6 linked regions of the Macaca fascicularis genome follow. The protein of the gene in region 5 purifies or fractionates together with the protein of the main gene of each other region. This does not show direct contact. Links are inferred from orthologs where the notes say so. Each region holds a gene or a part of one and is shown on either strand. Other genes may lie near its edges.

Evidence for each region.
Region 1: the proteins of CRKL (region 5) and GAB2 purify together in Homo sapiens (affinity purification with western blotting; 3 studies listed by BioGRID). This does not show direct contact. The link is inferred for Macaca fascicularis from reciprocal best matches to the Homo sapiens genes CRKL and GAB2.
Region 2: the proteins of CRKL (region 5) and SOS1 purify together in Homo sapiens (affinity purification with mass spectrometry; 3 studies listed by BioGRID and IntAct, with this or other methods). This does not show direct contact. The link is inferred for Macaca fascicularis from reciprocal best matches to the Homo sapiens genes CRKL and SOS1.
Region 3: the proteins of CRKL (region 5) and GAB1 purify together in Homo sapiens (affinity purification with western blotting; 3 studies listed by BioGRID and IntAct, with this or other methods). This does not show direct contact. The link is inferred for Macaca fascicularis from reciprocal best matches to the Homo sapiens genes CRKL and GAB1.
Region 4: the proteins of CRKL (region 5) and NEDD9 purify together in Homo sapiens (affinity purification with western blotting; 4 studies listed by BioGRID). This does not show direct contact. The link is inferred for Macaca fascicularis from reciprocal best matches to the Homo sapiens genes CRKL and NEDD9.
Region 6: the proteins of CRKL (region 5) and RAPGEF1 purify together in Homo sapiens (affinity purification with western blotting; 16 studies listed by BioGRID and IntAct, with this or other methods). This does not show direct contact. The link is inferred for Macaca fascicularis from reciprocal best matches to the Homo sapiens genes CRKL and RAPGEF1.

Annotation. Positions count from the first base shown.
Region 1 is NC_088388.1:77,316,590-77,322,264, forward strand, and holds the start of GAB2 (GRB2-associated-binding protein 2), read right to left. Parts: upstream 3,533-5,675; 5' UTR 3,431-3,532; coding exon 3,353-3,430; intron 1-3,352. UniProt on the Homo sapiens protein: Adapter protein which acts downstream of several membrane receptors including cytokine, antigen, hormone, cell matrix and growth factor receptors to regulate multiple signaling pathways.
Region 2 is NC_088387.1:83,182,632-83,187,024, forward strand, and holds part of SOS1 (son of sevenless homolog 1), read left to right. Parts: intron 1-283; coding exon 284-402; intron 403-1,524; coding exon 1,525-2,016; 3' UTR 2,017-4,393.
Region 3 is NC_088379.1:148,465,997-148,471,632, reverse strand, and holds the start of GAB1 (GRB2-associated-binding protein 1), read right to left. Parts: upstream 3,456-5,636; 5' UTR 3,420-3,455; coding exon 3,297-3,419; intron 1-3,296. UniProt on the Homo sapiens protein: Adapter protein that plays a role in intracellular signaling cascades triggered by activated receptor-type kinases. Plays a role in FGFR1 signaling. Probably involved in signaling by the epidermal growth factor receptor (EGFR) and the insulin receptor (INSR).
Region 4 is NC_088378.1:161,757,448-161,762,351, reverse strand, and holds part of NEDD9 (enhancer of filamentation 1), read right to left. Parts: intron 4,575-4,904; coding exon 4,473-4,574; intron 3,335-4,472; coding exon 3,233-3,334; intron 2,062-3,232; coding exon 820-2,061; intron 1-819. UniProt on the Homo sapiens protein: Scaffolding protein which plays a central coordinating role for tyrosine-kinase-based signaling related to cell adhesion. As a focal adhesion protein, plays a role in embryonic fibroblast migration.
Region 5 is NC_088384.1:31,930,047-31,934,441, reverse strand, and holds part of CRKL (crk-like protein), read right to left. Parts: intron 2,055-4,395; coding exon 1,920-2,054; 3' UTR 1-1,919. UniProt on the Homo sapiens protein: May mediate the transduction of intracellular signals.
Region 6 is NC_088389.1:12,236,631-12,241,534, reverse strand, and holds the end of RAPGEF1 (rap guanine nucleotide exchange factor 1), read right to left. Parts: intron 3,921-4,904; coding exon 3,792-3,920; intron 3,178-3,791; coding exon 3,027-3,177; 3' UTR 326-3,026; downstream 1-325. UniProt on the Homo sapiens protein: Guanine nucleotide-releasing protein that binds to SH3 domain of CRK and GRB2/ASH. Transduces signals from CRK to activate RAS. Involved in cell branching and adhesion mediated by BCAR1-CRK-RAPGEF1 signaling and activation of RAP1.

The sequences.
Region 1 (5,675 bases), on a different chromosome or scaffold from region 5:
TATTCCAAGCACCTGAAGTACCTAGGACATAGATTTAATAAGTATATTTAACAAATACAATGGAAATAAACAATTACTGTTACCTTAATGCAGTTGTTCATTAAAATTTGTGCACAACTTTCAAGTTAGCCACTAGGGGGCAGTCTGCCAATTTTATTCCCTAAATCTTTTAACCCAGTGAAATTGAAAACTACAATGCAGTGTAGGTCATATTAATAAAATGTTTTTCCTCAAGAAAATTCTGTTTAAGATTTATATACATGTACGTGTATATGCATTTGCATGCACACGCATACACACACAAATACACTGAGGCACGATGGGAGGGTTGTTACTCCTGCCAACCTCCCACTGCAACCGTATCAGGATGCCCCAGGGGCAATAGTCAGCATTTTCCAAAGTCATTTTTTGTAATTTCTCCAGGGCACTCAGCAAATAGCAGATAGATCTTTTATACTTATAATTAACTAGAAAAGGCTGATGAAAAAATATCTGAAAACTAATTGCTCAAACATTTGCCTTTGCTTCTTCTAAGATGTTTCCCCCCTCTGCACCTCCTTGTCTTTCTGAATTAAATAAGTTTTTTGTTTTTCTTTGAAATGGAGTCTCATTCTCTCACCCAGGCTGGAGTGCAGTGGTGCAATCTCGGCTTGCTGCAACCTCAGCCTCCCAGACTCACCCAATTCTCATGTCTCAGCCTCCTGAGTAACTGGGACTACAGGTGCCCTCCACAACGCCCAGCTAATTTTTGTATTTATGGTAGAGACGGGGTTTTGGCCAGGCTGGTCTCGAATTTCTGACCTCCAGTGATCTGCCGGCCTCAGCCTCCCAAAGTGCTGGGATTACAGGCATAAACCACTGCGCCCAGCCTTCGAATTAAATCAGTTTTTAAAAAAATCGTTTTAAATAGTTATAACCTAGTTCATCAACTACTTTTTCCCCTTATCTCATATGCTTGTGGCATTCTTATAAAGAGGATTTCTCAGTACAATATAACATGACTATGATGTATACCAGAAGCAGCAGCTACTTTGGGGTAAATATACAGCCATTAGGCTGGGAAATACTTTCCAAGTTTGGTTCTGATGAACTCGGGCCTCTACTGAAATAAGCAAACTAGCAGAGTTTTAACTTACAACAGGATGCAAAAATTCTTAATACCCCCAAAAACAGTAGACGTAAAAGAATACTGTTCCCCGGAAGCTTAAGGTTACACAGATCAGCAGTTTCAACTGGGGGGAAACTGAACTTTCGAAAGGGCAGAGGCTTCCAGTCATGTAAGTGAACACATCACATCCTGGCCTAAGAAAAGCTGTTACTGAAAGCTGTTAAGGTCTGACACCTGATGGGCTGAAGGTGCATCGAAGATGGGAAAGAGAGGCTAAGGCCATCACACGATTCTAGATTCGTTCAAATGAGTGAAAAAGGTGCTTGACCCAAATGCCTCCAAACCTGGTTTTTTTGAACTAAAGTTGTTTGGGAACAAAAACACCCAAGAAATGGGTCATAAAGAGAGTCTGGGTGAGCGTTCAAGGAGCGGTAAGTCAAATGGAGATACAATGTCATACTGTTTGCAAATTGTTTCAAAAACAAGTTTCAAGGTTTAGTGTAGTGTTCAAATTTGAAAACTAAGGGTCACTTTTTCTTTTTTTTTACTGTGGACACTCTATTCCACTAGCTTGTATGGAAATCTATTTGTAAAGATAATTTTTGGAAGCTCTTTGGGACAAAGTTTTAAAAATATTTATTAAATTGTTAATAGTAAATCACTGCTCCTTAATCCTAATTAAAGTATTCAACCTTCCTAACGAACTGATACAAGCCTGAAGAGGAAAAAAGTGTATTTCTTAATAATTATACTTTGGCTACATAGACACTCCTAAAAATGAGCTTTCAAACTGAGATGAACAATTCACTGCTTCATCCCTCCTATAAATCCACGTCCACTTTCAAAAGTCATGTGCTAAATCAGAATTTTTTTTTTCCTAGCAAACATCTACGTAAGAGCCTGATTTCATTGACACACACACTTGCACTCCGCAACAACAACACTTCCTTTGAAAAACAGAATGTCACTTCCTCAGTCCAGAGGCCAGAAGTCCCTTGATTCTGATCTGGGGAGCCAAGACAGGAAATTCTGGTAGGCTTCTGCTTCTCCCCCCATGGACAGCCACTGGTGCAGCTGACAGAGGGCAGGGTCTATTCCGAGCTCCCTTGATGCACTGCAGCTGGAGGCAACGGCTCCCTTCCAGGCTGTGGGAGTGATCCCGGAGTCCGGCACCACAGCCCGTTAAACAAGGGCATTTCATGGGAAAAGGAGAGGGAGCAGATGAGAGACCTTGAAACCTTCCAGCCACCTTACCCCCACTTCCAAACTCCCGCGACTACCCCAGGACCATTTCGGCAAAATCTCAGTAACTGGCACCATCTTGTACTTTGACCTCACCAGGCAAGGCATCCTCTGGGGAGAGGGGTTAAAAAAAAAAAAAAAAAAAAGCCAGAACTCCACGGCTCAGCGCCACGCCGTTCCACCTCCCCCAAACTGCCAGTTCCCCACCTAGAGGGAAGAGGCTGTTCCAGCGATGTCAGTAAACACTGTGGGTTGGCAACACCTGGGCGCCGAGAGCCTCGATCTCTCCCGACCCCAGACAACCGGGAGCTGCCAGGTCCCAAACCCGGGCCAGCCACGGGGACCAAACTGCAGTGTCACACCGGGGTCGGGGGAGGCGCCTGTGAGAGACGAACGGAATAAAGGGAGAGAAGGGGGACAAACAAATGAGTCACTTAATACAAGGGCTGCACATGCCGCTGACGCTGCCGGTGATGCAGCCGCGGACGGAGTGAGGCCGGCGGCCGGGAGGGGCGGGCGGAGAAAGGGAAGGAGAGGGCGTGAGGCGCTCGCCCTTTGTGGGGCCGTCCGCGCGGGCCCACAGCCTACGCCCCCCTTTCCCGCCCTCTCCCGGACCTGTGAGCTGAAGCTGCTAGGGGCCGCCGCGGAGCCCCAGCCCCGAGAGTCAACTCTCTCGGTCTCCAGAAGCCATCAATACAAACTTCGACACTATATTTAGTTTACGGGCAGACCGCCTGGGGAGGCGCCGACGCCGCGCCCGCCTGGCGGAGCAGGAGCCGCAGCCTCAACCTGCCGCCCGCCCCGCCCCGCCCCTCGGCGGCGCACCTGTGACAGGTGTGCAGGTACCCCACACGACCCTGGCCGCTCCTCGCCCCCGGCCCCCGCGGCTCCGGGCCCGAGCTCCCCAGCCTGCCGCCCCTCCGGGAGCCCCCCGCCCCTCCGCAGGCCCCGGAGCGCCCCCCGCCCGCCCGCCCGCCCCTCGGCGGCCGCGCCCGCACTCACATAGCGCCTCAACTTCTTCTCGGGAGGCGATTTCCTCAGCCAGCCGGTGCACACCACGTCGCCGCCGCCGCCGCTCATGCTGCCGGCCTGGAGCCCGCCGCTGGGTCGCGCGGACTAGGGCGCGGGCTCGGGCAGCTGGGGCAGCGGCCGGCGGTGCGCAGCTCGCGGGAGGCCAGGGGCGGGGCGGGCGGCCCGGCGGGGACTAGGCGGCGCGGCGCGCGCCCGGCGGCCTCGCGCGCGCCCGCTCCCCCGCCCCGAGCGCGCGCAATCCGCACTCTCCGCCGGGCCGCCGCGGGGGCAGTTGCAGCGGGAAGGCCGGCGCGCTCGCCACGCCCGCTCCCGCCGCGCCCCCGAGGCCGCCGCGCACGCGGACGCGGGGCTGGGGATCCGCCAGGACACAGAAAGCCACCGCCGCCGGCGAGCCCCGGAATCTCGCTTTCTCCTGAGGCCTCAAGCTGCGGGCGCGGAGGCCGGGGAGGCGGCCGCGCCCCTGGCGCTGGCGGGCGTGCGGAGAAGGGACTGCGCGCCCTCCGTCGTCGATCGATTTTTCACCGAGCGTCGACGGGGAAGGGATCCGAGGGTTGCTCGCGTTTCCGATCCATTCTGCGGGTCAGGTTCCTGCTGAAAGGAGGGACCCCTTCCCAGTAAGAAGTTCCTTAACTCTGGCGCCCCTCGGCGGGAGGAGGAGACGGACCTACTACGCGCCGGAGCCTTTGCACTCTTGGCTTACAGGATTGTCTTCAGTATTGTTCCCATTTTATGGACTGCCTAAGGGCAAGGGCTTGTACAAAGCCTAGCCAAGTTTCCAATTCAGGTGTGTGGGGGAGGAGGGGTCCCAGTCATCCCCTATTCAAAATGAGGGCATTGCCTTAATGGGATCAACCTGGGAGCCTCTCATTGCCTGGAAACAAAGTCCAGCTGAGTCCCTCCTACATTGCCTCTAGGAAAACAGTTAAGTATAGAAAACTCGCATGATTTGTAGAATGGAAGAAGCAAACCTAGTAAATATATTTCATAGTGAATTGGAAGGCAAGGTCAAGTGTAGAAGAACAAGAAATTGGGGTCCAAATTCCCCAACGTCCCCGCTCATTGACAGTGTCTCTCCAAGCAGCATTAAAAGGCAGGTCCTCCCTAACTTCTCTGATAAGTGGATAGTATCCTGTTTATTCAATGGGGAACCGTGCTGTGTGGACAGATGAATTGGAGAAGCAGCATCTTGCACTGCCCCACACAACCTTAGACTAAAGCTGTTTTGTTCATTTCTGTCTCTGTGCAGCTGAGATGTTTCAAGCAGTTGGACATCATTTGGTCCAACAGATCTTGATTGGGTTGGGGGAAGTTCACCCTCCTCAGTTTGGAAAAGCGAATCCGCTATCACGTACTTAGCTCTTCTAGATACCCTAGGAGTTTTAGCAGTCAGTCTCCTGGATCTAACATTTCACTGACTTTCTTCAATATCCACTGTGCTGCTGGATGGGAAGTAAAGCCAGAACTGTTAGGCTGGGACCACAGCTCCCTTAACCTTCCAATTTGGGGATCCTTAAGTCACATATGAAGGGCCACCACCAGAATGATGGCCATTTTAACTTCTGGCTTTAAGTACCTTAAATCCCTGTAAGACATACAATACTTAACGTCTGCCAAATCAATCAGGAGGCGGTGACTCCCCACCAAAATAAACCCATCCTGACTTCATTCACATCTGAGTCATGGTGCCAAGTCCCAGGGATTGCAGAGTCGAAGAAATCTGCATGGTTTGGCTGCAGCTGAGGTTTGTGATGCAAGTCAGGCAGACGTATGCCCTATCTTCCCCCAGAAGAGTAGTCTTTTACATATCCTTTGATAGTTATATGATTCAATACACAGACTGGAAGGCTGTTTAGCAAGAGTTAGTTGGGGTTAGGTAATATTCTGCCAGAAATTCTTTAAGGTCTTATTTTGTTTGTTTAGGAAAAGATGGTGTTATTTACAATTTCATGTAGAAATGGAAAAGTTTGATGTTTCTTGTTTGGCCAATGGCAGGAGGGACCTTGAAATGTGAATACAATAGTCACCACGTATCAGCTTTGGGAAGGGTTCTCTGAACATCTTTCCCCAAAGGTTGAAGGCGGGCTAGAGTGCAGTGGCGTGATCTTGGCTCACTGCCAGCTCTGCTTCTCGGGTTCAAGCCATTCTCCTGCCTCAGCCTCCCTAGGACTATAGGCGCCCGCCACCACGCCCAGCTAATGTTTTGTATTTTTTTTTTTTTTTTAGTAGAGATGGGGTTTCACCATGTTAGCCAGGATGGTCTCGATCTCCTGACTTCGTGATCCGCCCGCCTCGG
Region 2 (4,393 bases), on a different chromosome or scaffold from region 5:
AAAAATTTCAATAATAGAGTAACCACAGGAATGTTATTTTGTTCAGGCAAAATAACAGAATACCTTAGGCAGCTTTTTTCTAAATATTCTGCTAAAAAATGTCTGCATGCTTTTATGGCAGTTTGCTTTAATGAAATACTATTGGGTATTGGTTTACTGAACTGCTTTTGGTATTTCTACACATTACTTTTAATCATAAGCAATTTCCAGCTAAGACTTTTCAAGATAAATAAATGAAATAAAATTCCTGTGAATTTTTTCTTAAAAATTTAACATCCTACAGGATCTGCTTCTGTATCATCTATAAGTTTAACCAAAGGCACTGATGAAGTGCCTGTCCCTCCTCCTGTTCCTCCACGAAGACGACCAGAATCTGCCCCAGCAGAATCTTCACCATCTAAGGTAAAGTAAGAAATCTTGTTATGTAGAAATTGGAATCATTACAGTTACATTATAATAAACGGCTTATGTCTAGTTTAGTTCTCACTGGAATAAGTTAACATTTCAGAGTATATAGGCTTAATAGTTTAAATAAGGATTACATATAGATTTAGCATGCAGTAATGTTTCTTTTCTTCTGAAGGTAGTTTTTTGGTATGCATTCAAGACCCTTGTAAACCTAAGGCTATGGTTATTTTCAGAAAAAAAAAATGTTTTAATCTATAAAGTAAGAGAAATTTGGTTTCAAGCAGTTCTTTAAAAACATAGTCCTGAAGCTTTGTATGAAGACACATTATAAGTCAAACTGTATCTTGACATATGCTAAAATTTACTTATCTGAGCCCTTAATAGTAAATCTGACATACTTTTAAATGGAGTTTTCATGAAAATTCTGGGTTTGGAAGAGACCCTAAAGGCTCAAAATAGCTATTTCTACCTACTTTTTTTGGCGGGGGGGCCAGCTGTTAACTTAACGCATTAGTTCTTAAGCTGTCCAGAGTGCAGAGCACCAGGGTAAGTCAAGACACTCTTTGTACAACTTCATGAATGTTAATATAGTTAATTTAAAATTATAAAATAGGCAATTTATGCTAAATTAGAAATGATCTTTGATTGATAAGCTAAGTCAGTAAGCAGTAGCAAACAACAAAATTTTGAGGAAAAAAATTTAAGTAAAAACTTTGGCAAACTTTTTTTTTCTATGAATTGGCAGAACCTTCCATTTAAAACACATGCCAGCCTTGGCAACAGAGCAAGACCTTGACTACAAAAAATGAAAAAATTAGCCAGCCATGGTGGTCCTTGCTGCTTGGGATGCTGAGGTCGGGGGATCACTTGAGCCCAGGAAGTTGAGGCTACAGTGAGCCATGATTGCACCACTGTACTCCAGTCTGGGCAATAGAGCAAGGCCTTGTCTCAAAAAAAATTTTTTTAATTACAAAGGAAACATACGGCAAAACTCCCTGTTCCACACTTAGCATCCTGCCAATAGCATGTTTGAAAACCCCAACTTAATTCTTATAGTCATGATACTTCATAAATTTATTAATAAATGTGTATTTTATTCTTCTTTTCATTTGTTAGATTATGTCTAAGCATTTGGACAGCCCCCCAGCCATTCCTCCTAGGCAACCCACATCAAAAGCCTATTCACCACGATATTCAATATCAGACCGGACCTCTATCTCAGACCCTCCTGAAAGCCCTCCCTTATTACCACCACGAGAACCTGTGAGGACACCTGATGTTTTCTCAAGCTCACCACTACATCTCCAACCTCCCCCTTTGGGCAAAAAAAGTGACCATGGCAATGCCTTCTTCCCAAACAGCCCATCCCCCTTTACACCACCTCCTCCTCAAACACCTTCTCCTCACGGCACAAGAAGGCATCTGCCATCACCACCATTGACACAAGAAGTGGACCTTCATTCCATTGCTGGGCCGCCTGTTCCTCCACGACAAAGCACTTCTCAACATATCCCTAAACTCCCTCCAAAAACTTACAAAAGGGAGCACACACACCCATCCATGCACAGAGATGGACCACCACTGTTGGAGAATGCCCATTCTTCTTGAGTTCCTCTGTACTGGGATGTATATTTTCCTGGCCCCAAATCCATTGCTGGCAATGGATGCACTGAACGTGCCAGCACTGAGGAGTTAAAATGAGAACTCCAAACACTAACGACTCTTCTTCAAGATGCAGTATAAGACAATGAATTTTAACCTAGATGTAATTATAACATGGAAATGGTATTCCAGTTTAGAATATGGAAAGACTGACCTAGAGGAATTGGACAACTGATTGCACCTGAAAATCATAAAGGGACTTTTTCTGGCCAATAGGCAGGAGTCCTCTTTTTGGGAAGTGTTTGTGAAGTGATCTTTTGTGAAGTGATCATTAAAGGGATGGAAAACACAGTCTAGTGTCCAGCAGGCCCACATGATGACAGGTTTTGTAATTCAAATTATGCACTTTTAAAAAAAAATGTAAACAGGGATCTTAATATCTTCCTTTGTTTTCCTTTGCTTTACTCTTCTACTTCAGAATATTTTCTTAAAAATCACTCAAAGGACTGTGAGGAAAGGCTGTGGTACCTGACCTTGTTGAAATCAAGGCCCGGCACTGTACTACAGTCCTGTTTACAGATTATTACGGTGAACTGAATGGGTACCGAGGCTTCACCAAAGAGGTACTTTTTTGTTGTTGTTGTTGTTTTAGGAATAATTATACCAATTTTAAGAGCATTCCCCACCTGTCCCCACACACCCAAACAAAATGTGGTGGTGTTGCCTTCAAAAAAGAAGTTTTGTGTCATTAACATGACAGAAGAACTTTTTAAAAAAACATAACTGTCAAGTATTCTATTTGCATTTAGGAGACTGTTAATCTATGCTAGATTGTCATTTTCCCTCCTTCTCCCACAAAAGTTTACTGGTAGTCCATGTCATGGCTCGTAGCTATCCCTCTAACCATACCATGGAAATGCAGACACCCAATGTGAAAAGGAGCACTTGCTGGGCATCACTGACACCGCTCATGTTTTACTCATAGTTGAGTAATCAGCATATCTAGAATTATCTTGCATTGCCTAAATCATATGTATATAGTGAATGTTATATAATATACCTGGCAGGTCTGTTTTAATTTAATTGAATAAAGATACAAATACTTTGTTTGGCTGGCATATATTAAATTATTATATGAAGAAAATGGTTGATTCTTATTTCTTTTAGTTGAAAAACACACAAAAACACTAAACATAAAAGCACGTTTTGTGGTACGCCTTGGTTTCTAGTTCTGGATATATGTATTAATCTTAAAGAATGATCTAAAGTCACAGCTTGGCATATAGGAAGATACTTGGTTAGAATAGGATGGGTATCTTTTAAGCAGAACTTTGTAAGTTTTAAGTTCCTAAGCAACATGTGTACAGTGTGTTAAGGTTTCTATTGAACATTCTACCTTGCTTGAGGTTTTCTGCTTTATCAAAACTATTCATGACAGAACATCTACCTGCATCATTACTATCATAATATGGATTATTCATAAAGCGTATGTACTGTTATTCTGAGTCTAACAAATACTGTGACTGAAATGCATGCACCTTGTTGAAGAGAAAACATTTTATTAATCTCCACTATAATGTCTGTGAAATGTGCAGTATTCCATCCTTAGAGAGTTATCTGGTTCATCAGCATCTGCATGTATCCTCTGAATAATGAAGCAACATTTCAGCAATTCTGTTAACCACGCTATTAAGAGACATTTGTAGAAGTGCTGCAACATGGTGGGAACCTAGTACTTTAATAATTTCCTATGATATTTATTAGAGCGCAAAATGTACATCACGATAGTACAGTATGTAGTCCTTTAAGACCAGAAGGTATGTTAACTGCACCGTCATTAAGCAGTCTATCCTATTTTCTTATTTATTTGTTAGAGTTGAATCCTTTTTGTTTAATATCTGTACCATTCCTATGATGGTAGCCATTTTTCTCTTTATAAAATATTTCTTCTTTGGAAAGTGTCCTAAAAATTTAATTTCAAATCTCCTCTTGGATGCAAACTGTCCCTAAGACCATCCACTCAACAGTATTTATGTAAGCCAACTTACTAGTGCCACTACAACTAATCATGATACATAGTCCAGAATCTCCCAGGACTTTTTACTGGGCCAGCCTCATTGTCCCTAGGATTTCTCTTTTTATGTCTCATGGATTACTTCTCTTTTTAATTGCCCCAGGCCCATTCCAAATGAGAACCTGGTAAAAGTCACATTGGATCCCATTCAGTATGTCTTCGGCTAATGTGTTAGCCTTCAATAAGGTGATAACCCCTTTTCAACCTATCTAGTCTATAAAGAGGAAAAACTCAAATTTGAAGTTCTAATCTTATTTCTCCCAAAGGGAACTATTCTTCTACCCCATGGTTCTAGGAGACCACTTCACT
Region 3 (5,636 bases), on a different chromosome or scaffold from region 5:
GATACTCCCCTCACTTGTCCCCCAGAATGAAAACTAGAGAGCTAAGTATATGCTGCCTCATGTTCTCACCCCTAAAACCCTGTATATTAAAATATCTGAGAACCCCTGGTTCCAATGGACTCCTCCCTTGCCCAGTTTTAGAGCCCAAGGTTGTGGTTTCAGCCAGACAGGTGTCAAAGTCAAAAAAAGTATTTCTGAACAGATACAGATGTCAGGCCACAAAACTGGAGGCTTGTAAAAACAATTTCTATACTATATAGAGTTGACCCAGGCTGGCATCTTTATGATCTGAGCATCCACTAGGTAGGAGTTTACAGGCACCCTAGTTTATCCCATCTGTCCTGTTCCAACCACTGGCATTCACACAGTAAGTTTGCAGAAGAGGTTCTCCAGATAGACTCACAGAAAGAGCTTCAGGACTAAATTCTGCAAAGACAAAAAACAGGCTGAGTAGAAACTCAAACCCACTCAGGATAGATTACCTAAAGGTATTTCTGAGACACGTCTTATGGTACCTCTTTTAAAGATATATAAAAGGGTGGCAGAAAGTCCAAAATTTCTGCAGAATTTAAAAAAAAAAAAAAAAGGGTGTTCTTTTGAGAGGGTATGGAAAGTATTCTAAATAGAATCTTCTAAAATCTTTCCTCTCAAGAAGAAAAAGTAGAAAGTTTACAGGCTCAAATCTCTACACTCTGCTTCAGAAACTCCCAATTCGTTCGGAAGGCCTTCAGATGGCCTAGCTTAGCTGGCAAATATTCAAATACAGTTATTCAAAATATGTTAATGAGGCTAACGTGGTGTTTGCATCACGTAACCCAACCCTCTCTTTCTTTGTGTGAACTGAACCTGTGCAGGTTAAAAAACAGGCGTGCCAAACACTTGCTAACTGAGATTACTGACTGTTGGCTGAGCAACTGCCAATTTAAAATAAGCATTTAGGGAGAAGGGCTTTGCTCAAATGCATACTGTATTTAAAAATGGATACAGAGTTTCATTTTGATATTCAAGTCAGTCCCACTCCCATATTCCTCTATGGGCATGAAAGCAAGTATTAACCATTTACATTCTTTAAGCACCATGTTCAAAGTATCCTAAAGATTCCAATGTACTTTAAAGTACTTTTTTAAAAATAATTTTCCAGTGAAATGTTTTTCATTCCACGAATGAAGAAATGGAAATAGCATTTATGCATTGTATAGATAGGGATAACTGGAATCAAAAGTAAAACTGTTATTTTATCTGAGTTAATATACCTATTCAACATCATCTTCAGCACAATATCAAGTATTTCTCTTGTGGGTAAAATAAAATCACAAAGTAATTAACTGCTCGTCTTTGGTTTGCACATATTTTCAAAATCTGAATGTTTCCCCCACAAGATCAGACTATCTTAACATTTTCATTCATCGTTCTCCCAGCCTCTCCCCCACCCCCCGGCCCCGACCCAAAAAAAGGCATTGGCTTGTTTCTTCATCCACACAGACATTCCATACATAGCCTGAATTTCAGAAGTTAGGCCATGCAGCTTCATGTTCAGCAGAACAGAAAGCACTGGTTCCAAAAAAAATCGCAACACCTCGCAGTCCCAAAATTAGTTTCCAAATCACCAGTCCTTATGTAGAAAAGCAGGATCCAGTAACATACATTTAAAAAATTAAAAGGGGGTTGGAAGAAAGGTATAAACGAGATTACACACTTACCCATGGTGACTCATTCTCATATGCTCAAGATTAAACAGAGCACTGAATCTAGGATCAGGAAAGAATTTTTTCCTCGGGGGAAGAAAGGGGTGTGGGATTTCCAAATGATCCGACAGTAGGATCATCTGTGTGGATCAGGTGAGCAAATCCCACATAATTAACTTCCTATTACTGTGAAGGAGCAAACACAGGTGAGGCACACGCCTTCCTGAAAGGTGTTTGCATAAAGCCCCTTCTGTTGTTTCCAATGCTACTGAGATTGAATGGAGAAGCAGGAGATATTGGGCTGGCACAACAACCTGAATACTTAACCTACTGTGCCATACACTTAAAAATGATTAAGATGGTCAAGTTTATGTTATGTGTTGCTGTTTTGTTTTAATTACAATTGAAAATAATAATTAAAAAAGCAGTCATTGGGATGAACTGCTCCATGAGACAGCTGAAAGGCTCTGGAAATGTGCAATGGTTTGAATGCTGGAAATCACAGCAACCCACTAAAGATGGAGGTGGATATAGAAATGGTAATGAGAACAGCTCTGGCCTGGGCATCAGGAAGCGTGTTCTAGTCTCATCTCTGCATGCTGAAACCAGCTGGCCTTGGACTCAGGGTATTTCCTAGGCCTAAATTAAGAATAGAAAGAGTAAAAAATGTTTTTCTCCTTTCATTAAGAAAAATTAGCCTTTATCCTCTTTTGAGTCATGTTGTTCTCCTTGAGGTATTTCAATAAAAATCTCGAAGAAAATCTATTCTGCTTTGGAAGTATACGGTTTAGAAAAACAACAGATCCTGTTTGAAAACAAACAGATGTTTTCAAGGCTAGAACTTAGTTGAAGGATGAAAAATATTTCAATATCTATGTTTCAATTTCACTTAGTAAAAGCATGGGCTTCTCAACATATAACTAATTCTCCAACTTGGAGCAAAGCACATTTGCTAAAAAATTTAGTGTGCATAAAAGCTACTATAAAGAGTATCTTTTAGTTATTTAAGAATCACTGGCATAAATAGGTAGATATTAAAGATTTGGAAATCTCTGGGTATTAAAAATTGTAACTTAAATAATGAATACCAATATACTATACATTTTAAGTAAATCTATGCACATTTTCTATTCAAATATAAGTAAACATAAAAATATTACAAAGTCAAATATATATATTATAGTTTAATGATAAATCTTCTACACCAAGTTTTTTTAAAAGAAACACTTCCCTTTAGTAACTTAGGCAAAGGGCAATAAATCTGCTTACCTAATATTTTATAACTCTTTTTTTCTCTATATGTTAAACTCAAAATGGAAAACTGTAAGTTAAAATACTTCCACTGAAAATTTATGTGATTTCCTAATGTTGCATTTTGATAGCTATTTAATGTTATGCTTCTAAGAGCATTTACACTTGTTTTCAGAAAATATAAAAATTCATTGGAAACACCCATCACTATGTTAAACAGTATATGAGTTAGAATAAATCACAAGGAAGAAAAAAAATCTGAAAAGTTAGGAATACTAAGAGGCTCATAAAAAGGAGATACACCAAGATATACCAAGTATATGATTTTAAAAACAAAAGAAAGCAAGAAAATAAGGTAACCTGAAATGAAGACAGCAAGTCCTGAGCCCAGTCTTCAAAGTGCAGGGTAGAAGACACAGGAGTCTCGCCTTTCTTGATTGCCAGAGTAAATGGAAGAAGCTGGTTTTGGGTCTCCACCAGCATACAGCAACAACCCTTCTATTCACTTCAGAGCAAAGTGATCTACTAACTACACTTACTTGGACTCTTAGTGCAATGAGAGGGTGTGGTAGACACTTCATACAATAACAATAATGATCCTCAACACTTACAATGCAGGTATGAAGATTCTATAAAATCTTGTGAGCAGATGGAAGGGAAAGAACATCAAAGATGGTAAAAAGGATTAGCAAGCTAGTTAATACACTATAGCGGTGAAAGTTCTAAAGTACAATCTGGGTTTCTAGAGCATGTATATGGAAAAGTGAACACTTTAATACAGAGATAATTAGAATAAAGAAAGAATGATTTAACAAATGCTGGCGATACTCGTCACTTTATAATTATCTTCCAAAATTCTTTTTTTTTTTTTGAGACGGAGTCTTGCTCTGTCGCCCAGGCTGGAGTGCAGTGGCCGGATCTCAGCTCACTGCAAGCTCCGCCTCCCGGGTTCACGCCATTCTCCTGCCTCAGCCTCCCGAGTAGCTGGGACTACAGGCGACCGCCACCTCGCCCGGCTAGTTTTTTGTATTTTTTAGTAGAGACGGGGTTTCACCGTGTTAGCCAGGATGGTCTCGATCTTCTGACCTCGTGATCCGCCCGTCTCGGCCTCCCAAAGTGCTGGGATTACAGGCTTGAGCCACCGCGCCCGGCCGACTATCTTCCAAAATTCTTTTCTTTTTTTGTTTTTCGGTCAGGACCTCTCTCCAAGGTTACTGAATCGAACTATAAAGTTCCTCTATGGAAATAATATGTCCAAAAAAAAAAAAAAAAAAAAAAGGAATAGCTGTCTAGAAGCAGAGTACATTCAATAGGTAGCTGGAAGTCAAGTACTTTATTCCTCTGCTAGGATTAAGTAACCATTCCCACCTGGTCCACTTCTTGACCAATTTTCTAAAGTGGAGTCAGTCTGTCTCTCTTGCTCTTTCTCTAACGTGGGCTTTAAAATCAAAGTTTAGGTTAAAAGAGATAGATTAGAAAATATAAATCTAACACACACATATACAAACACAGAGCTGGAAAGCAAGAGAGCTTCCTCAGTCAAGTAGACCCACTTTTGGTGTTCTTTTACACATCAACCACATCTCAACTAACCAAAAATTGGGGCAAATCAGACATGTATTATAAAAATAATGGGAAAGAATATTAGAAATGTGAACTATTCCAGGAAATCCGGACTATACTTTAATAAGATGGTTTCAGATCCAATAACTAGAATAACCAGAACTTCTGGTGAACAGCTAATCCTCTTTCATCTCTCCTCTTCATCTTTAAGCCATTCATAAACTCTTGATTCAGGAATGCACATTCTTCTTTAAACAGACACCTACAAAATACTTTCTTTGATTTAATCATGTCTTTTGAGTTTTTCGGCGACAGTTAGGTACTTTCTCATATTCTAACCTTTCTAAAAATTCCTTTTCACTTTTGTCATCCTCTAAATATGTCCTCTTTGGAGGACAGTTTGATCTCGTTCACTGCCAGAAAAAACTAAACACTTATCTTTTTAAGCAGCACAGCATACTCACTCCCTTCATCTCACTGAAGAGAGATTAAAGTTACTCCCTCAGTTTTGGTTCTTGCTTTCCTATTCCACTCTTTATAAGTATTTACTTCTATTGGATTTTCTTTCTTGTCTCTTTTTCCCTCTATGCCCAACTCAGGATTTCTCCAAGAGTAATCTAAGGACCATCTACATCAGAATCAGCAGGGGTTCAAGTAAGAAACTGCAGTTTTCTGGACCTCTACCCAGACTTAATAAAAATATTAGAAGGAGGGTAGAGCCCAAGAATCTTAACTTTAGAAGTTACCCAGTGATTGTTATGCACACTGAAGTTTAAGGACCACTGACTGCTCTACACCCTTGTTTTTTCCCAACCAAATGACACAAGGACTCTGCCAAGCTATAAGTATCTTAGGATCATCTGAAAAGAGAGAACACCTTAACAGTTCTCTCTTTGCATTCCTTCTATTTGCCTTCCTTCTAAAATACACATGGAAGAGGAAAGAAAGCTTGGAGAGTGGGCTGAATATGAGACATCAGCATAAATGCAGACTTGTCAGCCCTGCTCTGTGGCTGCTGCCAATTACAGTAGCCAGACCTGAAAGAGGACTTGATTACATGTAATTTATAAAAAGTAAACAAGCTGGGTGGCTTGTGAACAATGAATGGTGATATTGCAGCCAAGAGGTAAGAAAATG
Region 4 (4,904 bases), on a different chromosome or scaffold from region 5:
TCACTGTGATTCACTTATGCTAACAATTTCATTGACAGATGAGTAAATACTCTTTATTTTCCACTGCCTTGGCAACATCTCAAATGCTCAGTGAGGCACTGTGAACCCTAGACAGGGGTGGCAGAAAAATAAAGCCCATTGCCATATAGGGTGCCAGCTTTCTGGGGCACCTTACAGTTTTCAGAGAGCTACTCATGATTCCCTTAAAATCTCCTATATAAATGTACTACTTCTCTGAGTTCTTTTCTCATAGATTATATGTGAACCCGTAAACCCCCAAACGCAGGTCTAAATGTGGTCCACCTCTCACTTCCAGTTCCCTCAAATCATCTATAGATTTCTGCTCCAAGGCAGTATTTCCCACTGTGCAGAGTCAGACAACGAGTAAGGTGAATGTTCAATGCCTCCATCCTGTCTCTCCACTCCCTCCCTCAGCACCAGGTGAGGCTCAGTTGGTAATATCATTAGAGGGCCTATTATCCTACTTGGTGAGTCTCCTCTTACCTGAGGTATCAATGGGATCTAATCCAGCCCCTTACACCATTCATTTTGCAAATGAGGAAATTAAGGCCCAAGGAGGTTGAATAAGTTGGTCACACAGTAAATGTCAGAGAAAGGGCTAGAGCTGAGTGAGTACTCAGGACTCTCAGTCCAGCGTTCTTCCTACTCTACAACACTCCCTCCAATTTGTGAACCATGTGGATTAACATTAATCGTGTGCTCTCCTTTGGTAGTCCAACCCGACATCCTTACAGGCATCTGTCTCAGGCTCCCTGCATGTGAGTGAGCGTAGGTGTTTTATGAGTTCGGCTGTTTTACCTGTAGGTGGACATAATCGTAGTCATCCATCCAGCTCCTCTCAGAACCATCACTGCTGCTACAGTCAGGGGCCTGCTCCTTGCTCAGGCCTGGGGGCAGTGCCTTGTTGTGGGCCTGGGCCTTGTGGTCACCAGGATGCAGCAGCTGCCCCTGGGAGCCACTGTGTGGGTACTCCGTTGAGTTCATGATGCTCTCCGGCCCGTTCTTCAGATGCAAGCTGCCAGGGCCGGGTCTGAAGAGGGCCTCTGCGTTGGTGTTGATGGTTGTGGTGAGCTGCTTGGCGTCATCGGGCACCGTCTTTGCCACCATCACAAACCGGTCCAGATCGTCACACTTGTTCTGGGGCTTGTTGATGGCCAAGATATTCAGGGACCAGCTGCACTCATTTAAGTCGTGGCTGGTTTGACTCAGAATCTGGTGGGAATCTTCGACTCGCTGCAGCTCCCGCTTCATCTTGTTGTGGAGGACGAGTTCCGGGAGGCAGGCAGCATTTGCAACAGCTCCCTTAACAAAGTGGAGGTACTCCTTCAGGAACAGCTCCACCTTGTCCACCGCCGTGCGTATCTCATTGATGTGTCTTTCCATATATCCGTAACACCGCCAGTCGGTGGTGACCAGTGCCATTAGGCTGGAGACACCCATCTCCAGGGCCTGCTGAAGCCGCTGAAGTCTCTCGATAGCTGTGTCTGGATCCAGTAAGAGCCTTTTGTCCTGAGCTGGGGAGGCTGACAGTGAGGACTCCTTGGAGGAAGTGGACGACGTGGACATGTTACTCCGGGTGCTGCCTGTACTGGAGAAAGACAATCGGTTGATCCCATCCACCAAGTCCCGAGAGCCTTTAGCGTCCGGCGGGTTATGCAGAGGGACATCATAAACACCATCCCTTTCTTGGGGGTTTGCTTTCTCACTGGTTTCTGCTGGTGGCTCAAGAAACTGAACGCCTCGGGGGACATCATATGCGTCGTTGTGAGAGCCCACTGACTGTCCCAGTTGCGGGGGTGGGTGATTCGGGGACAGGCTCTGGTGCCGTCGAGCTACGGGTTCTGCAGCTCCTGGAATGTCACAGTTGTATTTTACATGAAGGTCCTTTCCTGCTGGCTTGGCGCTGGTTGGGGGAATGTCATAAACCCCCTCAGGTCTGAGGTCTGCCCTTCCAACTTGTCTCATGGGAGGGGGGAAGTCATAGTCCTTTTCCCTAAGCCCTGCTTCATCCCGGCAAGCAGAGGGTGGAATGGCATATACCTGAAAAGCGAGTAGAAAGCGAAATGCTATTTATTGTGTTGGCTCGTGGGAGCATGCGGTCCCATGTGCTCAGTCCTATTTGCTGGCACTTTTTCGGTCGCCTTCCCCCGCCCCCCATGTTAGGCACTTCCAAGGTTCCCCGCTATTCTGCTGCCACTTCCCTTGTCCTTTGACAAGTGTCTCCACCCACATATTCTTGGTGTAGACTTGCATGTGCAACCCTGCTGGTTAAATTGCTCACCCCTGTGTTCCAGTCCTACATTTCTGACCACTTCCTGGGTATCCTTTCTCTGCTGATCTGTGCCGAGCAGCAGAGTAAGACCGGAGGTCTCCCCTGGTCTATTCGGTTATTACACCAGCTGTGTGATGCTGAATGAGCTGCATAGGTGTCTGAAACACAGTCCCCTTGTCTGTAAAGTAGGGATTACCGTGCTCTGTGCAGGCATACCCCAGAGGGTAACAGAGTGAGTCAAACGAGTTCACCCAAACATACAGACTGAGAAAACTGTCAAACCCTCTACAGGCCAGGCGTGGTGGCTCACGCCTGTAGTCCCAGCACTTTGGGAGGCCAAGGTAATAGGATCACTTAAGCCCATGTGTTCCAAAAACAGCCTGGGCAGCATAGGGAGATGCTGTCTCCACAAAAAAATAAAATTAGCCAGGCATGGTGGCATGCACCTGAGGTCACAGCTACTTGGGACGCTGAGGTAAGAGGCAGCTACTTGGGAGACTGAGGTGGGAGGATTGCTTGAGCCTGGGAAGTCAAGGTTGCAATGAGCTGTGATTGCACCACTGCACTCCAGCCTGGGTGACAGAGCGACACCCTGTCTCAAACAAAACGTAACAAAACAAAACAAACCCTCTACAAATATATATTAGTACTTGCCAAACTAATTATCTTCCCTGCCAAAGGGTTCTCCTTATTGGCCTCCCAATGTTTTTTAGCTGCGGCTCCTCAATATGAAATCCCTAGAGCTATCTTTAATGAGCCTTTCCTTTTTTGCTTCATTCCTTTACTCTCACCAAGACTACATTTTCCCCTTTTGGGTTTGCCTTTCTTGTTTTATTCCAATAAACTACTTACCCACCCTCCTCCCGACCCCATGCCCCTCGACACACAGACGCACACACACTCACACTCCTTTTTGCTGCTTTGTAGTCACTCACTTACCCCTTTTGTAGGCGGGATGTCATACACCCCTTGAGGTTTTATCTCTCCCACTGGAACTGAAAACACGGGGCCTTTCACTGATGAGGGAGGGATGTCGTATACCTGGAGAGAAACCCATGAGTTACCCACAATGGAAATGTCTTATACTTGTCATTTTTTATGCTCCTAAGTGCTTAATTACGGATTTATTTACCAGGTTGTGTACAAGCTTGATCTTTAGCAGTGCTCCATGTTATAACAAATTGATTACCTTTTTTTTTTTCTTTATACATTTTGTGGTTTTTAACTTAGACTGAATATAAAAATGATTTTGGCCAGGCGCGGTGGCTCACACCTGTAATCCCAGCACTTTGGGAGGCTGAGGGGGGCAGATCACGAGGTCAAGAGATCGAGACCATCCTGGCCAACATGGTAAAACCCCATCTCTACTAAAAATACAAAAATTAGCTGGGTGTGGTGGCACGCGCACCTATAGTCCCACCTACTCGGGAGGCTGAGACACGAGAATCGCTTGAACCCGGGAGGTGGAGGATGCAGTGAGCCAAGATCGTGCCACTGTACTCCAGCCCAGTGACAGAACGAGATTCTGTCTCAAAACAAAACAAAACAAGAAAAAAAAAAAAGATGATCTTATGTGAAATATCTACACTGCCTGTACTTTAAAGTGTAGTTTAAATTTTCTACTTTCCGGCTGGGCGCGGTGGCTCACGCCTGTAATCCCAGCACTTTGGAAGGCTGAGGTGGGCAGAACACTTGCGGTCAGGAGTTCAAAACCAGCCTGGCCAACATGGTGAAACCCTGTCTCTACAAAAATACAAAAATTAGTCAGCTATGGTGGTGTGTGCACCTGTAGTCCCAGCTACTCGGGAGGCTGAGGCAGAGGCAGGAGAGTTGCTTGAGGCTGGGTGACAGAGGTTGCAGTGAGCTGAGATCAAGCCACTGCACTCCAGCCTGAGCAACAAAGTAAGATTTTGTCTTAAAAAAAAAAATTCTACTTTCTGAAGTAAAATTGTAGAACATAAGCTCTCTTGGGTGAAATACTAGGATTTCCTGATAAAGCAAATCCAGAAAACATAATTTAAATAGCATTGGCTAAAGTGGCTACTGGATAGACAACCTAAATAAAGCTTTATATGACGTATATTAATACATAATTTGTGAACTCCATTTTCTCTACAGCCCTGAAGGAACACTACCCTTAGAAGCTCTTCTCCTCTTGTGACCTTGTTCTGGTACGCACCCCTTGAGTGGTATGGGAAGGAGGGATATCGTAGACGTCCTTTTGGTATCGGGATGGGTACTCGTATACGTAGCCATGGCCTGTCCTTACGGGGGTTATCACCTGTGGGAGAGAAGGCACAAAGATATAAATTTCCAAGCCTGAGTCATTGAATCTCCTTGCCTGCTAACCAAGTACTCATCCCTCAACTCTCCCTCATAAAAAGATAGAAAGAAACTGAAGAAAGAAGACACAACAGGAAGGAGACAAGTAGACACCAGGTCAGTAAACTTTTTTTTTTTTTTTGAGATGGAATTTTGCTCTTGCTGCCCAGGCTAGAGTGCAGTGGCACGATCTCAGCTCACTGCAACCTCTGCCTCCCTGGTTCAAGTGATTTTCCTGCTTCAGTCTCCTGAGTAGTTGAGATTACAGGTGCGCGCCAACACGCCCAGC
Region 5 (4,395 bases):
ATGGCAGTTATCTGCCTAATAGAATACTGATTTAAAGAAAAATTGAAAAATGGTTGTTTTGCTGGTTCTGTCTCCAGAAGGCATTGTTCTAAATCTCAAAACCTAGGAACCTCCAGACAGGGCCACAGTCACAGCAGATACTCAGTAAATGACAGTTACTCATTAGGCTGTTGCTACATTTCTAGGTCTGCTGTGTTCACTATAAGCTGAGGCTTGTCTTTACCAGGGCCCAGAAGGGAGAACAGACTGAATTACACAGGGTTCCCAGAATTCTAGTCTGCCATGAGCAGCAGATGACGGATGAACCACACATATATACCAGCTGGCTTGTATGAACAGGCCTCTTTTAGCTAACAGGGAAATGCTTTAACATCAATACACTGATAAGTGGTTAATGATAAACTGGTTAATGGTCTCCCTAGTCACTAAAACACTAAGACATCAAATACATTAACCAATTTCCAGAGCCTGCATTTCCACTGCTTGGGAGCATCAGACACTTACTTAGACTGTGAGACCAGTATCAGCAGCACCAACTTTCTCTGGCAGCCTGGTGAGACTGGGCCTGGGTACGGAGGTCTGGGCTTCAGTGAGTGGAATTTAACGATTCATTAATGAGTCCAATGATTCTATGAACAACCCCACTTTTTAGGGGAATTTAAGTCTTAACCTTAAAGGGGTACATTCACTGAAAAGCTGAACAGAAAACTGGCCAACTGCCCTCCAACCCACTGCTCTTATCACTGGCAAACAAGGTAAGCAAAGGTTTCCCTAAAGTACCCCCCAACTCTGATGCTTTTTAAAACAAAGTAATCCAAGGGGCTGTGCACATGGCATGGCACACCACAGCTGCATTATTTTGTGTGTTTTCTGCTACATGGCAAAACAAACTACTACTGGCAACCAAGACAATAAAGGCCTCTGCTTCAGGGTTGTTCTTTTCAGATTCCTTTAGTTACAGCAGCTTCAGTTTAGAAGCTCAGAGGCATGTGTCATTCCTTGCACTATCATAAAAACCCAACCTGCTACTTAACCTGTTTAGAACACACAAGTCTAGGCCAGGCACAGCGGCTCATGGCTATAATACCAGCACGTTGAGGGGCTGAGGCGGGTGGATCACCTGAAGTCAGGAGTTCGACACCAGCCTGGCCAACATGATGAAACCCCGTCTCTACTAAAAATACAAAAATTAGTTGGGCGTGGTGTGCGCGCCTGTAATCCCAGCTACTCGGGAGGCTGAGGCAGGAGAATTGCTTGAACCCGGGAGGCGAAAACTGCAGGGAGGCAAGATTGCGCCACTGCACCCCAGCCTGGGTGATGGAGCGAGACTCCGTCTCAAAAAAACAAAAAACAAAACAAAACAAAACAAAAAAACCCCACACAAGTCTAATTAATTAGTTTTCCAAAACCAAACCAAACCAAAAGAAAAAAAAAAAGCCGAATTTTGGAGTTTTAGAACAGAATTCTCTCTTCCTTAAGGTTCAGTTCCTGTTGTCCAAAGAAAAGCAAGATGGCAGCTGAGCCACTGCTCTGTGGAACAGCAAACATGCAGTATCTCGCCATGGCCTCAGGCTTTCTCTGGTGAACACGACAGAATCAGTCCCATGTACAAACAGGCAGCGATGAGAAGGAAGACCCTTTCCTCGTCAACTTCTCTCCACTTGTGTGCTTCCATCAGTATTTCCAGTTTATGATCCAAAAGAACTCTAAAATCGGCTACTCTTTGACAATACAACTATGATACAAACGTCAGGAGGCAGTCGCTGTGTGCATTCCAAATGTGTGTGCGACTGCCAGTCTGCAGAAAGCTGGACTTCGGCAATGCAGTGTGACTTGCCTATGAGAGAGAATGCTTTCCCACTTCAAAGGAGACTAGGACAGGCAGAACAACAAAGCAGCAGGAAACGGGGCAACGGCAATCACTCATTTTCATCTGGGTTTTGAGGGTCAAAGATTTTGACATGCGTAAAGGGAAAAAGCCCTTTGCGCCCATTCACCTCGCCTTCCCACTGGCCATTTATATTCATCCTTGTGACTTTCACAATGTCACCAACCTGTACGGATGAAGAAGACAAAGTTAGCATTTCTCTGCAACAAGAAAAAGACAGTTTACATTAAATCACAAACACTACCTTATCCAAAGGGCCCATACATTATTATTTAGACACAGAGTCTCACTCTGTTAGCCATGCTGGAGTGTAGTGGTGAGATCACTACTCAATGTAACCTCTAACACCTGGGCTCAAGTGATCCTTCCACCACCACCTCTTGAATAGCTGTGACTACAGGCGTGCACCACCATGCACATTAATTTTTTTATAGACAGGGTCTGTCACCCAGGCTGGAATGCGGTTGCACGATCACAGCTCATTGTACCTTGAACTCCTGGGATTACCTGAGGTCACGAGTTCGAGACCAGCCTGGGCAACATGGTGAAACCTCATCTCTTCTAAAAAATAGAAAAATTAGCCGGGTGTAGTGGTACATGACTCTAGTCCCAGCTACTCAGGAGGCTGAAGTGAGAGGATGGCTTGAGCCCATGAGGCTGAGGCTGCAGTGAGCCGTGATCGTTCTATGGCACTCCAGACTGGGCAACTGAGTGAGACCCTGCTCAAAAAAACAAAAACACGCACACGCACAAACAGCTTTTGAGCACAAAGCAGCTCCTCCCCAAACCAACCCTTTATTTTGGCTACTAACCCCAACAGGATAGAAATGAACACATGATTCTGAGAACAGTTAAAGTCAAATCACACAAAAAGGTGTATTTTTAAAAAAGACCTTCAGGTGGTAGCCATTGTAGACATTGTGCTCTCTGTTCAGCAGAGCACTAATCTAAGATTCTATTTTGTGTACTCAGGTCCATAAAAACACTACTTGAATATAAGACACGCCTAAGATCTAAGACAATAATAAATAAGCTTTCGTCTGCTTAAACACATACAGAACCAGGCATAGTGGTGCGTGCCTGTAGTTCTAGGTACTTGGCAGGCTGAGGTGAGAGGATTGCTTGAGCCCAGGAGTTTGAGACCAGCCTGTGCAACACAGCAAGACTACATCTCAAAATAAAAACAGGCACAAGGTGGCACAGTCCAGTGGTCCATGCCATGAACTTTGGAACATGCAGGACACCAAACAAATGTCCTGGTTCTGCCACTTTTAGAAACTACATGACTGTAGCAAACTGCTTAAGTTCTCCAAGTCTCAGTTTCCTTCCAACTTTGAAAGGGTCTTACAGTAATCAAATGATTGTTACTTGAGTAGAGATTCCTGAGTAGAACCCAGCCCCACGCCCCCTCTAATGATCATACCCTTTGGATGCACGAAGGGAAGAGCTGGAATTAGCACTGAGAAGCACAGCACTGTATGTATCAGAGGATTTCCAACCTTGTCACCAACAAGGGTCCTCTCAAAACCAACGAGGAACAGGCTGAAAACGGGGTCTAATAAATTACTGTGATGGATACTGAGCAGCCAAGGAAGACAACGGGAAGATGGAGATGAGGAGGCTAGGGACTGAAAGCTACCAAGAACACTCACACCTCATACCTTCCAATTAACTTGTGAGTCTGGCGGTCTTTAACAGGATACTTTCTACATGATCCTACCTAAACAATTAAATAAAATTTACTGAACATCTATTCCATGGAAAATGGGCAGGTCAGTTCGTATCCTCAAAAAACTTGTCTTTTAAGTGGGATACACGATGAATCTTTGTTAGATAATAACATAGTGTAAAAAACACGAAGTGGCTGGGCGCAGTGGCTTACACCTGTAATCCCAGCACTTTGGGAGGCTGAGGCGGGTGGATCACTTAAGCCCAGGAGTTCAAGACCAGCCTGGGCAACACAGTGAAACCCTGTCTCTAAAATACAAAAATGAGCCAGGCATGGTGGCATGCACCTGCAGTCCCAGCTACTTGGGAGGATGAGGTGGGAAGATCGCTTAAGCGCAGGAGGCAGAGGTTGCAGGGTTGCAGTAAGCTGTGATCATGCCACTGCACTCTAGCCTGGGTGACAGAGCGAGACCTTGTCTCAAGAAAAGAAAAAGAAAAAGGCTGGGCGCAATGGCTCACATCTGTAATCCCAACACTTTGGGAGGCCGAGGCAGGTGGATCACCTGAGGTCAGAAGTTCGAGAGCAGCATGGCCAACATGGCAAAACCACATCTCTACTAAAAAATACAAAAATCAGCCAGGTGTGGTGGTAGATGTCTGTAATCCCAACTACTCAGAAGGCTGAGGCAGGAGAATCACTTGAACCTGGGAGGTGGAGGTTGCAGTGAACCAAGATCATGTCACTGCACTTGGTGTAGCCAGGCGCAGTGGCTCACGCCTATAATCCCAGCACTTTGGGAAGCCAAGGTAGAGGATCACTTGAGGCCACATGTTCAAGA
Region 6 (4,904 bases), on a different chromosome or scaffold from region 5:
CCCGAGGACGCCCTTTTCACCAGGACACTGGGGTGGGGGACTCTTTTGCATGAACCGACCTCCAGGGAACGAGCAATTCTTTGCCCAGTTGACTGCTTCTAGGGCACAAGGCTTAGGAGGGAAAGTTCTGGTGACATCCATTCCACTCAGCCACAACTACCCCAACGGCAGCGAGTGGGCCTGGGAATGCAGCTGAATGACCCTCAGCCTCCCAGAAGCCCTGCCTGCTACAGGGGTCTCAGAAAAGAGGTGGCGAGGCCAGCCCGGAGCAGGCTGGGCTGTCACTGTAACTGCACACACGCAGCTGGGCGTGGACATGACATTCGGCAGCTTTCGTCTGTGTTTATTTTTTTTCATATAAAAGTTACATGTTTGAAATGTCTGCAGGAAGATGCCACCATCAGACAGGTTAGCTGGGGCATATATATTACAATGTAACCCTGTGGAGGTCGTGGGGCTGGAGCGGGAGACGCTCCCCAGAATTGGGTTTAGGTCAGACATGGTGTGTGCCTGCCCCTCCTTGCCAACCCCGACACCTGCAGGTGAGGCCTGACCTCTGCAAGGAACGAGTCCTCTGCCTGGCTCCTGTCTGTTTGTGAAGACTGATTCCCACAACCTGCCCGGCCCCCCAGAAGGAACAGACGAGCCATGGCCAGGCCGCAGCACTGAGCACAGAGCTCAGCAATAACCAGGGCCAGGAGCAGGGGGCGCAGGGGCACGCCTGCCATCAATAAATGAGACATACATCGCACCTTGCCGTCCTCACGCAGGGAGCCCCGGGCACTGCTCATGTGCTGCCTGGGCCCCGCTGCTCAGACCACCAAGGGCTCCCAACAAGGGCCTGGGGAGTTGCTTGGGCACACTGGGGCCAGGCACAGGGTCTGTTCTGAATTCACGGAAGGTGAAGAGACCCCACCTCCACCTGGCTCAAGCCCAAGAACAAGGCAGACAGAGCTGTGGACAGCACCCGACCACAGACACGGTTCCACCTGCTGCTGGGGGGAGAGGCCTGGTTTCTGAGGCTGCAGCATGGCACTGGCATTGCCTGTGCTCCAGAGGGGGACTCCTACGAGTCTCACAAATACAGGGAGAATTTCAGTTCGCACAAACCCAAGGGCCCTGTGTGCAGAGAGGCCCTCACACGCGCACAGCAGCATTCAACAGAGCTGGGCAAGGGAAGGGGAGAGAGAGGCAAGGATTGAAATGAAGGGACTTCAAAAAGAAGGAACAAACTAAAAACCCAACCCACACACAATACTGTTAATAAGCCAGCGACTCTACACACACACTCCTTAAATAATAAAGTGACAGGTCCCGGCTGGCCCTGCAGGACCACCGCCAGAGGGGATCCCGCCGCCAGAGGGGGTCCCGCCTGCCACTGCACGGCTTTCCTCCCTCTATCTACAGGACAAATAAAACATGGGCGAGGGGAAAAAACCCACATTTTCTTCTTGATAAATGCTGTTCAAAAACCCACGAAGGACTCAAAGTGACATGGTTGTTTTAAAAAAAAAACCCAAATGATCAACAGATGTTGCTTTCTACGTTTTGCCTTTGTTCTGTTTGAACTGGGCTAAGCATAGTTAGACCCTGCTGTTCACTTGACCCTGCTGTCCTAAACCTGGGACAAATGAGCACTCATTCATGCACAGCAGACCTGGAGGCATGGGCTGGGGCAGCACGACTGGGTTCCCGCAGTGCCCTGCCTGCAGGCTCATGCTGGAGGCCACAGAGCCGGGCGGCACAGGGCAGGTTCTGTTTGCCAAGCGCCCCACAAGCCTTGCCCAGATTGTCAAGCTCAGCAGCGAGAACGGTTTTGACGAGGAGGAGGGAAAGAGCATCTGCTCTGCAAGCCGCTCTAGTGTGGCGAGAGTAGGGAGAGGGCGCACCTGCTGCAGCTGCTACCTTAGGAGGCTCCTCCGCGGCCAGGCCTCTGCCTCCTTGCACCCCGAGGGCCCATTCGGGTGCCTCAGGGATGCCCTTCCCTCCCAGGGGCACTGACAGCACTGGCTGAAAGGTCTGAAGAGCCAGAGGAGGAGCCCTGCTGGCCGGCCCAGGATGGGGCGAGGAGGGAGGGAAAGCCAGGGGATGGGGAGGGACAGGAGATGGAGTTTAAGGCACACAGCGAGCGATGGAGGAGGGAGGTGCTGGCCTCTCCCCTCTGAACTAACTCCCCCAGGAGCTCAGCTCTGGCCTCAGTTTGGTGAGGTTCAGAAGACTCCCAGCAATAAAAAGTACTTCTTGGATGATCAAGTCCTCCCTTACTCCAGCCTCCTCTGCTCAGCTCCCCGGGTGGTGTGGGAGGGGCCCAGTGGCCTGGGGTGGGGGGTAAGGGGCGACAGGATGACAGACACTGCTGCTGCTCTCAGCAGGCAAGGGAGGCCCTGATGGCGCCAGTACCACGGTGCAGAGCACCAGCTGCTAAGGGGTCACCTGCGTACCTTTCCGGGCCTGCTGCAAAGCTCACACCATCCTCCATGCAACAGAAGCGGAAGCGAGAAGTGAAAGGACCTCCTCCCAGTCTACTCTGCGTTCTGCCCACCCAGCTGCTCGCCCCCATTCCAGGGCCCCTGGAGGACAACCCACCCCAGAAGGCCTCCACTCATTTTCCATTTCAGAAGATTCAGGGACCCTGGAGCTCAGGGAGGGGCAGCACCCGCCACTTCCTTGGTCTGCTGATGAGGTCTCTGCTGCTCTCTCCCTGGAGGGGAGTGGGTGGAAGGGCAAGAGGGGAGAGATGGAAGTAAAAGCAGAAAACAAAACCAAACCAGAAAACCACCGGTTTGCAAATTGGCAACAAGACCTGCCTGCTGGCTGCAGAGGCCCACGGGTCTGCTCCCACAGAGGAGGGAGGCAGGAAGCGGCAGGCAGACTCCAGCTCCCGCCCGGCCCCGCTGAGGCCTGGCCAGCCTCGTGGCTCCGAGGCCGGGACTCCTGCCACCCGCCTAACAGGTCCAAGGTCCTCTCCGGTCTGGGAGCTGCCCTCCGCGCCCCTCGAGCATTCTCCTCGATCCCGGCGGCTGCTCCTAGGTCTTCTCTTCCCGGTCTGTTTTTCTCCTTGTTATGTTCCTGGGTTTAATTTTCAGAGAGAGTTCCCATAGGGCCTCCTCAGCCAGGTGGTCACTGAAGTCATTGAAGAAGTTTATAATGTCGTCGTTCCTCCGGATGTCATAGTGCCTGGTGCAGGGGATGGGGAGCAGTCAGTGAGCACCTGTGTGGGCTGGATGGCCCGATGGCGCCACCCTCCTGGACGGTGCCGTGGGGACCATCCCCACAACCTCGCAGGAGACGGATGCTGCAGGGGCTGCCATTAACCAACGTGACAAAGGGGGGATACCAGCACTCAAAGACAGTACCAGCATATGGAGCACAAACAGGGCCCTGAGGCTGGGCTGCTCAAAGGGAAGGGGCCCCAGGTGACCCCACTGCCCCCAACAATGCATGTCAGGGCCCGCCCTGGGGGAGCTCTGGTGCCTCCGAGTCAGGCAGGCCAGGGTTTGTCAGGCGCTTCTCACAGCAAGGTGGGCACCAGCTTCTGGTGTGTAAAATGGGAGGACGAGCTGTGCCGTCACGGGGTCCAGGCCCAGGGCCAGGCCTGGCATGGAGCCTGGTGGGCATGCTCTCAAGTCATCCTGGCAGAGACTGAAGGGCCTGGACTATATCCCTGCTCAGCAGGGGGCGGGTCCCTGGGTCCTCTGTGGCTCCCCCTCCCCTCGGCATCCCGGGCTGTCTCTCCTTGGGTGTGGCCCAGGGCTCAGCTCTGCCCAGCCCCCCGGGGCAGCGGCACTCACGCTTGCTGGAAGCACCGCATGCTGTCGAGGATGTTGAACTGCTGCCACCGCTTGGAGAAGTTCACTTTCCCATCGATGTAGTCTGGGTTTCCCAGGTGAACGAAGGTCAGGTCCTGCAGGATCAGCCCCCTGGGAGGACGGGTTAGGAAGCCTGTTACTGCTACAGGGAGGGGCTGGTTTGGCAGCTGCTCACTGTGAGTCCTAGCGCCTGACACATGACTCTAGCCCTTGCTGCTTCCAAACCCCAGAGCAAACCAAAGAGCCAGTCTGGGGTGTCTGTCTTTCCCAGAACAAACTCCCTCCTCAGCCTCTGGCCTCTGGCTCCACAAGCACCTGCTGGGGCCCTCGGAAGCCAGTACAGCTGATGAGAAGCCTGAGGGTGACGTGGCTGCCATGGCTGCTAAAGTAACATTAAACAAATGAGCAGTTAAAAGAAAAAAAAAAAACAAAACCCCAAAAAAACCAAAACCCAAACCAGGGGGCAGGGGCGGAGATCTCCTTTTATTAACAGGTGTGGTGGGCTGGGTGCGATGGCTCATACCTGTAATCCCAGTTCTACAGGAGGGTGAGGCAGAAAGATTGAGCTCAAGAGTCTGAAAACGGCTAGGCTGGGTGTGGCGGCTCACACCTGTAATCCCAGCACTTTGGGAGGCCGAGGTAGGAGGATCACCTGAGGTCAGGAGTTTGAGCTCAACCTGGCCAACATGGTGAAACCCTGTCTCTACTAAAAATACAAAAAGTAGCTGGGCATGGTGGTGCACGCCTGTAATCCCAGCTACTTGGGAGGCTGAGGCGGGGGAATCACTTGAACCTGGGAGGCGGAGGTTGCAGTGAGCCAAGATTGCGCCACTGCACTCCAGCCTGGGTAACAAGAATGTAACTCTGTCTCAAAAAAAAATAAAATAAAATAAAATAAAAAATAAAAAAAGAGTTTGAAACCAGCATGGGCAACAGAGCAAGAACTCGTCCCTACAAAAAATACAAAAATTAGCTGGGCATGGTGGTGTGTGCCTGTAATCCCAGCTACTAAGGAGACTGATGCGGGAGGACTCCTTGAGCCCAGGAGTTAAAGGTTGCAGTGAGCTATGATTGCACCACTGCACTCCAGCCTGG